Linked DNA regions of Alligator mississippiensis. The protein of the gene in region 1 binds, or shares a complex with, the protein of each later gene. Links are inferred from orthologs where the notes say so. Each region holds a gene or a part of one and is shown on either strand. Other genes may lie near its edges. The genes, in order: FGFR2 and FGF8.

Region 1 (3,910 bases):
TTTTCACTTTAGAGTCTAAAGAATTATACTTCTATGGGCATGGGCGACTGGTGCCTCCTGAGTCTGGGGGGCACCAGATCACCGATGAGGGGGGTGTCTCCCATGGCCAATTGCCGACCCCCAGCAGCCGACTCTGAACCAGGAGCAGGGGTGGCCCCCCAGCAGCCAATTGCCAAGCCAGCAGCAAAACTGGAAGTGAACTTCTGCTGGCACTTCCGGTTTTGTGGCTGGTGCTTCCAGGGAGTGCACGGCTGATCTCAGGGGGTGCACATGCACACACATGCACCCCTTTGCATTGCCACTGTTTATAGGAAGAAAAAAATACATATAACAATCAGGCCTTTTCTGTCAAAAATTTCCCTCCCCACATAATTGTAACCTAACAATGCTGTAAGCCACCTGGGCACAAAACAGGTTTCCAGACATTCAGTAACATACTGTGTTTTTCAACTCTGTTCTTTCCAACCATCAAGTTGCTCATGGCTCCAAGGACTATTCTGGTGTTTAGCACTTGGTGGAGTGTAAAAATACTGCAGCCAAAGTCTACATTACAGCAGCTATAGTGACTTTCAGAAAGTGTATGTATATACTACATGACACAGAAAGTCAAGGAAGTCAAAAAAACCTCATGCCCTAAATAACTTGCAGAAACTAGCATTAAATCGTTTTGCATTCCTCTGAATCTTAAACACATGGACAAATTTTGCAATAGGAAAATATGTTCACAGTTAAGATGCCTTCCATGACTACAAACATTTTCTGCAGGAGGATGAACAGAATGGAGTTCTGAAGTATATTGGACTATGCTACTTTATCCAGGACATATCCTAGTGACCTACTGTCCACCATGATACCTTACTAAGATCCAACCTGGGATCCAACCTCCTATATGAGAAAGATGGAAGAAAAGGGTGACAGAAAGCTTTAGAGGAGTTTGTGGTGTATTCCTTCTAAGTGAGGAACATTTAAGTTCACAGAGAGGCAATTAGGGAAAATGGGAAGGGGGAAGGGGTGATCACAAACACTACAAATTGGGAAATCTATTTTCACCACAAGTATACCGTATTTATTTGCCCATTTCTTCATGTAAGAGGTTTAACTAAACCATAAGTGAAAGATTCAAGCCATCATGGAAAGTGATACTTCACTATAACATCTTAAACCTAGTATTTTAATGGATTTTTCAGGCCAGAAGTTTCAATTCAGTCATCTAATTTGACCTCCTGCATAACACAACCCAAAAAACTTCTTCCAGTAGCTGCCACCTCAACTAACTTCTGGTCAAGCTGTCTCTTTCAGAAAAATGTTAAATCTAGATTTAACACTTTAAGCAACAGAGAATCCTTCCCCTCCCTATATAAACTGTTCCAGTAGTCAATTATCCTAACAGGAATATGAACCTTATTCCTCATTCCTACTCCAATTTTATTCCAAATTCCTATTCTAAGTTTGACCAACTTTAGTTTTCTTATGTCTTTTCAATGCTACTGAGCCATTTACTATCACAAGTCTCTTTCCTGTGTAGGTACCTTTTAGACCACAATCAAAGTACTTTGTCAAAGGGCTGGTCTGCACAGAAACATGTGACATAGTCTGATGTCCACTAAGGGTGTCCTCAAAGAGTTAGTTCAATGTATCCTGTGCACTGTAGATTCATACCATAGCTTACTGTACCCAAGTTTCCTTACATAGGCAGCTTTTAGACAAACTCAACAAATTGAGCTTCTTTAGTTGTCACTGTAAGGCAGGTTTCCCAGGACCCAGATCACTGTGGTAACTCTTTACTGAAACCTTTCCAATTTGCCAATACTCTTTTTAAAATGAAACCACACTTGGACAGGTTTCTGGCAGCTGTCTCACTGATGTCATGTACAGCAGTACTATCACTTTCCTACTTCTGCCTCCCCATGTTTTATCTCCAAAAAGTGTTTTAGCTCTCTCAGGCACCAGATTGTAACTGCAGCTGGTTGTCTACCATGACTCTATGTTCCAGTCGGAGTTGCTGCTTTTTGAAATACCATCTCCCCTCCTGTTTGTATGACTTTAACACCCAGGAGCAAATAATATAATTATGCCTCTAACTCCATCTATACATGTATGAGTGAAATACCTCAGCAACACTTTTTTTTAAACTAAATTGTCCAGTACCCTTATAAGGAAGAAAAGTATTATTCTCATCCTGAAGTTAAGGAAACAAACACAGGGTTATGGCTTGTCCAAGGCCACCCAGCAAATGTAAGACGGCTTCAGAAATAAACCAAAGTAGTTCCCGGCTTCCAGTACAGTGCTCAACCCAGTGCTGTTACTAAAGGATTTGTCCATCTGGAACTTGCACAGAAAAACAATATCAAACCCACATTTTCCTTGCATTTCCCACTGCTCAGCTAATAAAATAAAACACATAGCATAAAGTATGATTAAATCAAAATGCTAAGGCAAAACACTGTGGCACGAGATATACATGCAAGCAGCTGTTTTCACCATGAGCATAACATACAAACTGATGTACGGTATGCAGTTATGAATCGGCAGGAAAATGTGCTACAAAGATGCTGTTCCTATGATTGTCTATACATTGCAGTACAGAGGACGTCTATTGCGTTTGGCAGAGAAAATTTCCAAATAAAGTGTACGGTACCTGATTGCTTTTTTCCATTCGATATGCGAAGGCTAAAGGAATGCAACACACCAAGGCAGGCAAAGCATGGCTTCAATAGGTGTGTCTAGGTGTCTCTTGCATGTTGCAGCTTGACAGTTCTCTCCTATTGTGTGGGTGGCATTCATACAAAGAGGCTGACTTGTAACTCAGAAATGATATCACAATGCAAAGTTAACTCACTGAGTGCCTTAAGATGAACTGTACACCACAGAGTAATGCTCTGCAAAACAATACTTTCAAGCCATCTCCCTGTATATATTGCAGCAATCGAATTTACAACAATGTTTACTGATTAACATATGAAAAGCCCCCAGATTCTCGGGTGAAGGGTAGGGAGAGGCCTCTGGATTTCTGCAAGGAAAGAGGTAGTTGATTTTTGAGGGTTAGATCTTGGCTACAGTGGGGGTTAAGGTATGGCCATCTGCATAGCCATACTAATGGGCTCAAGGACAGATATGATCTGCATCCCCAGAATTAACCTCTCCTTGAAACCAGGATAAGGTTTACTGATGAAAGCAGAATCTTTACTTGGAGTATATACCAGTGTACATATACCGTATTGTAAATTGTACATACCTTGGATTGTTATTATTGCATGCTGCAACTAGAAGTTGACCCCAAGTTAAGCAAGGTCTTGCTGCTGCAATCCTTTTGTTTTAAACCAAGAAGGACAATGGATATGTTCGGTTGTAAGCGCCCCAGTTACATATTGATTTTTATATAATCAACATTCTTGACAAAGCTGCATTTTGTTTTCATGCTCTGCTCTTTATTATCAAACAATATAAAAAAGTAAACATGTTTTGGCTCTCTCCAAGGGAGCTACGACTTCAAAATTTCCACATTTTCTGGTCCATGTTATTTAAAAAAGATGTGCGTCTTGGCCCAGCACTGTGACGAATGAAAGACTGAGACACATTTATAGAGGGAAAAAGAGACAGAACTGAGAGATCCAGCAGCTCTGAGAATTAGTAGAGATGCTGGGTGAGATGCTTTGTTGCACTTCTAAGAATTCACGGCCGGTGGAAAAGGGTTGTTCCAGGCACGTTCCAGTGGGTAGGAGAGGTCCTTGGCATACTTTGCACCCCCCACAGGCATTTATCTATATTACAGGAGCCACTACAAGCACTACTCAGAACCAGAACCATGCTGCATACTGCAGCCCCAGCTTGAACATACATTTCTGTCTCCAGTGTGTTTCCCTCTATCTTGCCAGCCCAGCATGTGAAAAAGTCCTCTAAGAGCAGCCTT
Region 2 (3,910 bases), about 15 Mb from region 1:
AAAAGCCGGCCCTGATTTATAGCCCGGGGGCTGCTCTGGCCTCCCTGCGCAGGACCCGGAGCCCTGCAAGCCCCCGGCCCGGACACGGGCACAGGGTGGGCTCAAGCCTGCCCGGCTCCACCCCGGGCAGGGATCTGGGGGGCCGCGGCTCCGAGCCGGGGCAGAGGCCGGGAAGGGCACGGAGGCCGGACGGGCGCGTCCCACCGACAGCACGGCAGATCCCCGCGAGCGCCCGGCCCGCCGGGAAGGCGGCAGTAAAAACGTCCGAGCGGGCCGAGCGGTCGTTTGAGAAGATAAATCAGCCCTTTTCTTCCCGTCCCCAAACCCGCGAGCCGGACGCCTCGTGCGCGGGGCTGCGCAGCAGCGAGTCGCCGGGTCGAGCGGGGCCTTTTTTTGTTTGTTTCTTTTTCTTTCTTTCTTTCTTTTTTTTTTCGGAAAAAGCTTCAGGTTTTCGCCTCCCGACGTGACAGATTTATCCCAGTAAAATTATGTTTCTTGCTAAAACGTTGAAGGGAAAGTGGCTACGTAAATGCTGAAAAAATGCAGCGAGACACACTTGATCCCCTAACTGGACTGCGAAGAGCAGAAAGTATTCAGGAAATGTTAAAAAAGGTGAAAGTAAGAAGAGTTTTAATCGCTCTTCCAGACATGGGGGTCTCTCTGGAGATTCATATAGAACAATCCTGAACCTCTACTTTCACATTTACAGACTCGCAGCCCTTTTAAAACTTTACATCTGAAAAACGGCTTGTTCTTTCTTGCTTTTTTTTTTCCTCCTGGTTTAGCTCATCCGTCATTTTTCTCTCTCGCTCCTCAAACGCTTCCCCTTTTTATTACGTTTTAATAGAGGTTTGCAAGCCGCCGGGAGCTCCCCCTGCCTCCTCCTGGCCTCGGTTAAACTTGGTCGTGATTTCCAATGTGCAGTAGCCGCCTTTTAAAAAACACACGCGCCGGAGACGCGGAGAGCGCGCCGGGGCCGGGGGGAATCGCCTCGCGCCCTTTTGATCCGGAGGTGGTTTGGGATAAGGCGGCTGGCGGCCGAGGCGACGCGGGGCGCGAGCGTTTAAGTGCACACTAACGTTTCCAAGCCAAAGCACCGGAGGGGAAAGAAAAGCCCGGTGTTTCCACGCCTCTCCCCGAGTAAGAAAGGGAAACCGCTGCTCCAAGGAGAAGCAGGCGCAATTCCTGCGTGCGGTGCGGTCCCGCGGTGCTGCACCGTGCGGGCGAGGGGCCTGCCACCTCTGCGGGCTCTCCTGCCGTGCTGATGTCGGGGTCTGACCGCTTCAACGTGCAACTCGCACACGCGCCACCCAGGCACGGAGCGGCTCTCCCGCGCACCCCACGAGGGAGCCGCCTCTCGGGGCCGGACCCTGCGCCCGGATCCTTCCCGGCACCGGACGGCACTTGTCCCTTGAGAGTCGGCCTCCCCGGCCCCAGCTCGAGGACCGCTCGGGATTTCTGGCAGAGAGCCGTGCCCTCGGAAAGGGTCCGCTCAGGGACAGGGGACTCCACATTTATTTGGGAGGGGGATTTCTTTTTTAGCTATATGTGCAACCCTGGAAACAACCTGCCTCTCGGCCCTGCCAACGACCCCGCGCACGGTCTCCCAGCCCCGCGAGGCGGGCGCCCTTCACCCCTCCCGGCTCCCGAGGAGGCCGGGACCGGCCCGTGCCCTTACCGTGGGCGTCCCCGTCCTCCGCCATGGCGTTGATTTTCTTGTTGTCTAGGATCTGGACGTGCTTCCCGCTGGTCCGGCTGTACAGCTGGTAGGTGCGGACGAGCCGCCGGCTGAGCTGGTCCGTCACCAGGCTTTGCTCCCTCACATGCTGTGTAAAATTAGGTGGGGACTGAACAGTTACCTTTAGGAAATTAAAAAATATACAACACACCATTACGATCTCTGCTCCTCGGAGGGGCTGACGGGCTGCGCACGGGTCCCCGGCCTCCGGGGGCATCTTAGAGGGCCGCGAGCTGCGCTCTCGGGGGCTGCCTGCACCCGGCCCGGTGGGGAGATGCCCCGTCCAGGGCACTGGACGCAACAGGCTGCCCTGGGTCGATGCCGCCAAGACAGGAGCTGGGATTTGCCCCCCCGCCCATCTACCCATGCTATTATTTATGCACGCAGAGCCGCGTAGGGCTGCTAACGTCCTTTTTAACGAGGGCCGTCTCTTCCCAGCCCGCTGCCCTGCCTTCTCCGGCCCTTGCAAGCCACCTACTTGCGACTGCTGACGGCAGCCCCCGAGCTCCCTGCGTGGAGAAGCAAGAGGCCTGGCCCGGCCCCGGCCCTGCTTGCATTTCTCATCAGCTCCTTTTATCCCGAGGCCGGTCGGGGGCATCGGACCCCGCTCCTGACACAACCAGCCTGGACTTTTCCTTCTTGCCCCCGGCTCCCAAGCCCAGCTGGCCCCCGACATCTCTACACATCCCAGCAAACGCGGAGGAGACGGATCCTTTTGGCCTCCGAAGGGGGCACAGCGCGGCCCCCTGGTCTCCCCCTCCCCGTGCGAGACGCGAAGGCTGCCTCGCCGCCTCCCGCACGGAAAAATAAAAGGGGAACGATTTAAAAGCAATCGCTGCCCGAAGCGGAGGCCGCCAGCGCTCTGCCCCCGGCAGCTGGGTCTCTCTGTCTGGATGCGCCCGCTTCGTCGAGGGGGTTTGGGGGCATCCGAGGAGGGCTTGGCCCCTCCTGGCTCCCTTCCCCTCGCTCTCTCCCACCGCCCCGGCACCTGTAATCTCTCGCACCCCCTTGCAAAGCCCGGCTCCTGGCCCCACAGCCAGGCGGGTTCGGTGCCAGCCCCGCCTGCCCCGATTCCTCCCTTTGTTTTGGGGGCTGCGCCCTCCGAGATTGCCCCGCGCGTCCCTTCCTGCCCCGGGACTTCCAGTCTCGTTCCTCCCGCCCCTCCCGGGGCACCCGGCCGGGCCGGCGCTCACCTGAGCCTGGAGGCAGAGGACGAACAGGTGCAGGAACCTGGCGGGAGAAAGCAGAGAGGAGGCGGGGTGAGCGCGGAGCCGAGCCGAGCCGAGCCCCGACCCGACCCGACCCGGACCCGGACCCGACCCGGCGGCGGCTTACAGCGAGCGGAGCAGCGGGGCGGGCGGCGGCATGGTGCGGCGTTGGCGGCTGCGGGCGCTGCTGCCCCGGCCCCGGCCCCGGCCCCGGCCCCGGCCCCGCGCGGGGGCGGGCGGGCGGGCGGCGCGCTCCGCGGCGGGGCAGCCCCGGGCTGCGGGAGCCGGGCGAGCGGGCGGGCGGGCGGGCGCGGCGCGGGCGCTGTCAGCGCGGAGCTCGGGGCGCGGGGCCGGGGCCGGGGCCGGCACTGCGGGGCCCACACCGCACCTGGGCGGGGAGGGACGGCCGGAGCGAGGGCGGAGGAGGAGGAGGGAGGGGCGGCGGGACCGGCCCGGCCCGGCCCGGCCCGGCCCGGCCCGGGGGCAGTGGCGGGGGGGCGGGGGGGCGTGCACACGAGTGTGTCTGGGTGTGCGTGCGTGTACCGCGTAGCTGCGCGCACGTGCGTGTGTGTGTGTGTGTGTGTATGCAAGGGAGAGGTGTGTGCGCGTGTGTCCGCATGCATGGGCACGGGGGCTGTGTGCGGGATGTGCGCGCGTTTGTACACACGTGTGCGCACGTGTGACAGGGGATGCGCGGATGTGGATGTGTCTGTATCTGCATGGGGGGGGTGTCGTGGGGGGGTGCAGGGGGTGCGGGCGCGTGTGCATGCATGTGTACATGTGTAGGGTGTGTGTGTGTGCCCATGTGTGCATACATGGGCAAGGGGGGGAGTATGGGGATGTATGTGCACGGAGGGGGGTGTACATGGGCACCTGCGCATGCACGCACAGGAGGCATGTGTGTGTGTGTGTGTGTGTGTGTGTGTGTCCACACACTCTGGCAGCGTCTGAACTCAGCCCCTCT

Evidence for each region.
Region 2: the proteins of FGFR2 (region 1) and FGF8 are in contact, whole or in part, in a crystal structure (PDB 2FDB), measured with the Homo sapiens proteins. The link is inferred for Alligator mississippiensis from reciprocal best matches to the Homo sapiens genes FGFR2 and FGF8. Residues at the interface, in NP_000132.3 of Homo sapiens: Glu160, Lys161, Glu163, Lys164, Leu166, His167, Ala168, Val169, Pro170, Asn173, Asp247, Val249, Arg251, Ser252, Ser282, Asp283, Ala284, Gln285, Pro286, His287, Ile288, Gln289, Ile291, His293, Leu309, Val311, Leu312, Lys313, Ala314, Ala315; in NP_149354.1 of Homo sapiens: His53, Val54, Gln57, Asp62, Leu64, Ser65, Arg66, Leu68, Ile69, Arg70, Tyr72, Tyr75, Arg77, Gly80, His82, Val106, Glu107, Thr108, Thr110, Phe111, Gly112, Ser113, Val115, Thr148, Glu149, Ile150, Val151, Leu152, Glu153, Asn154.

What each region holds. Positions count from the first base shown.
Region 1 is NC_081829.1:85,695,284-85,699,193, reverse strand, and holds the start of FGFR2 (fibroblast growth factor receptor 2), read right to left. Parts: upstream 2,724-3,910; 5' UTR 2,639-2,723; intron 1-2,638. UniProt on the Homo sapiens protein: Tyrosine-protein kinase that acts as a cell-surface receptor for fibroblast growth factors and plays an essential role in the regulation of cell proliferation, differentiation, migration and apoptosis, and in the regulation of embryonic development.
Region 2 is NC_081829.1:100,259,209-100,263,118, forward strand, and holds the start of FGF8 (fibroblast growth factor 8), read right to left. Parts: upstream 2,925-3,910; 5' UTR 2,415-2,924; coding exon 2,217-2,414; intron 1,860-2,216; coding exon 1,679-1,859; intron 1-1,678. UniProt on the Homo sapiens protein: Plays an important role in the regulation of embryonic development, cell proliferation, cell differentiation and cell migration. Required for normal brain, eye, ear and limb development during embryogenesis.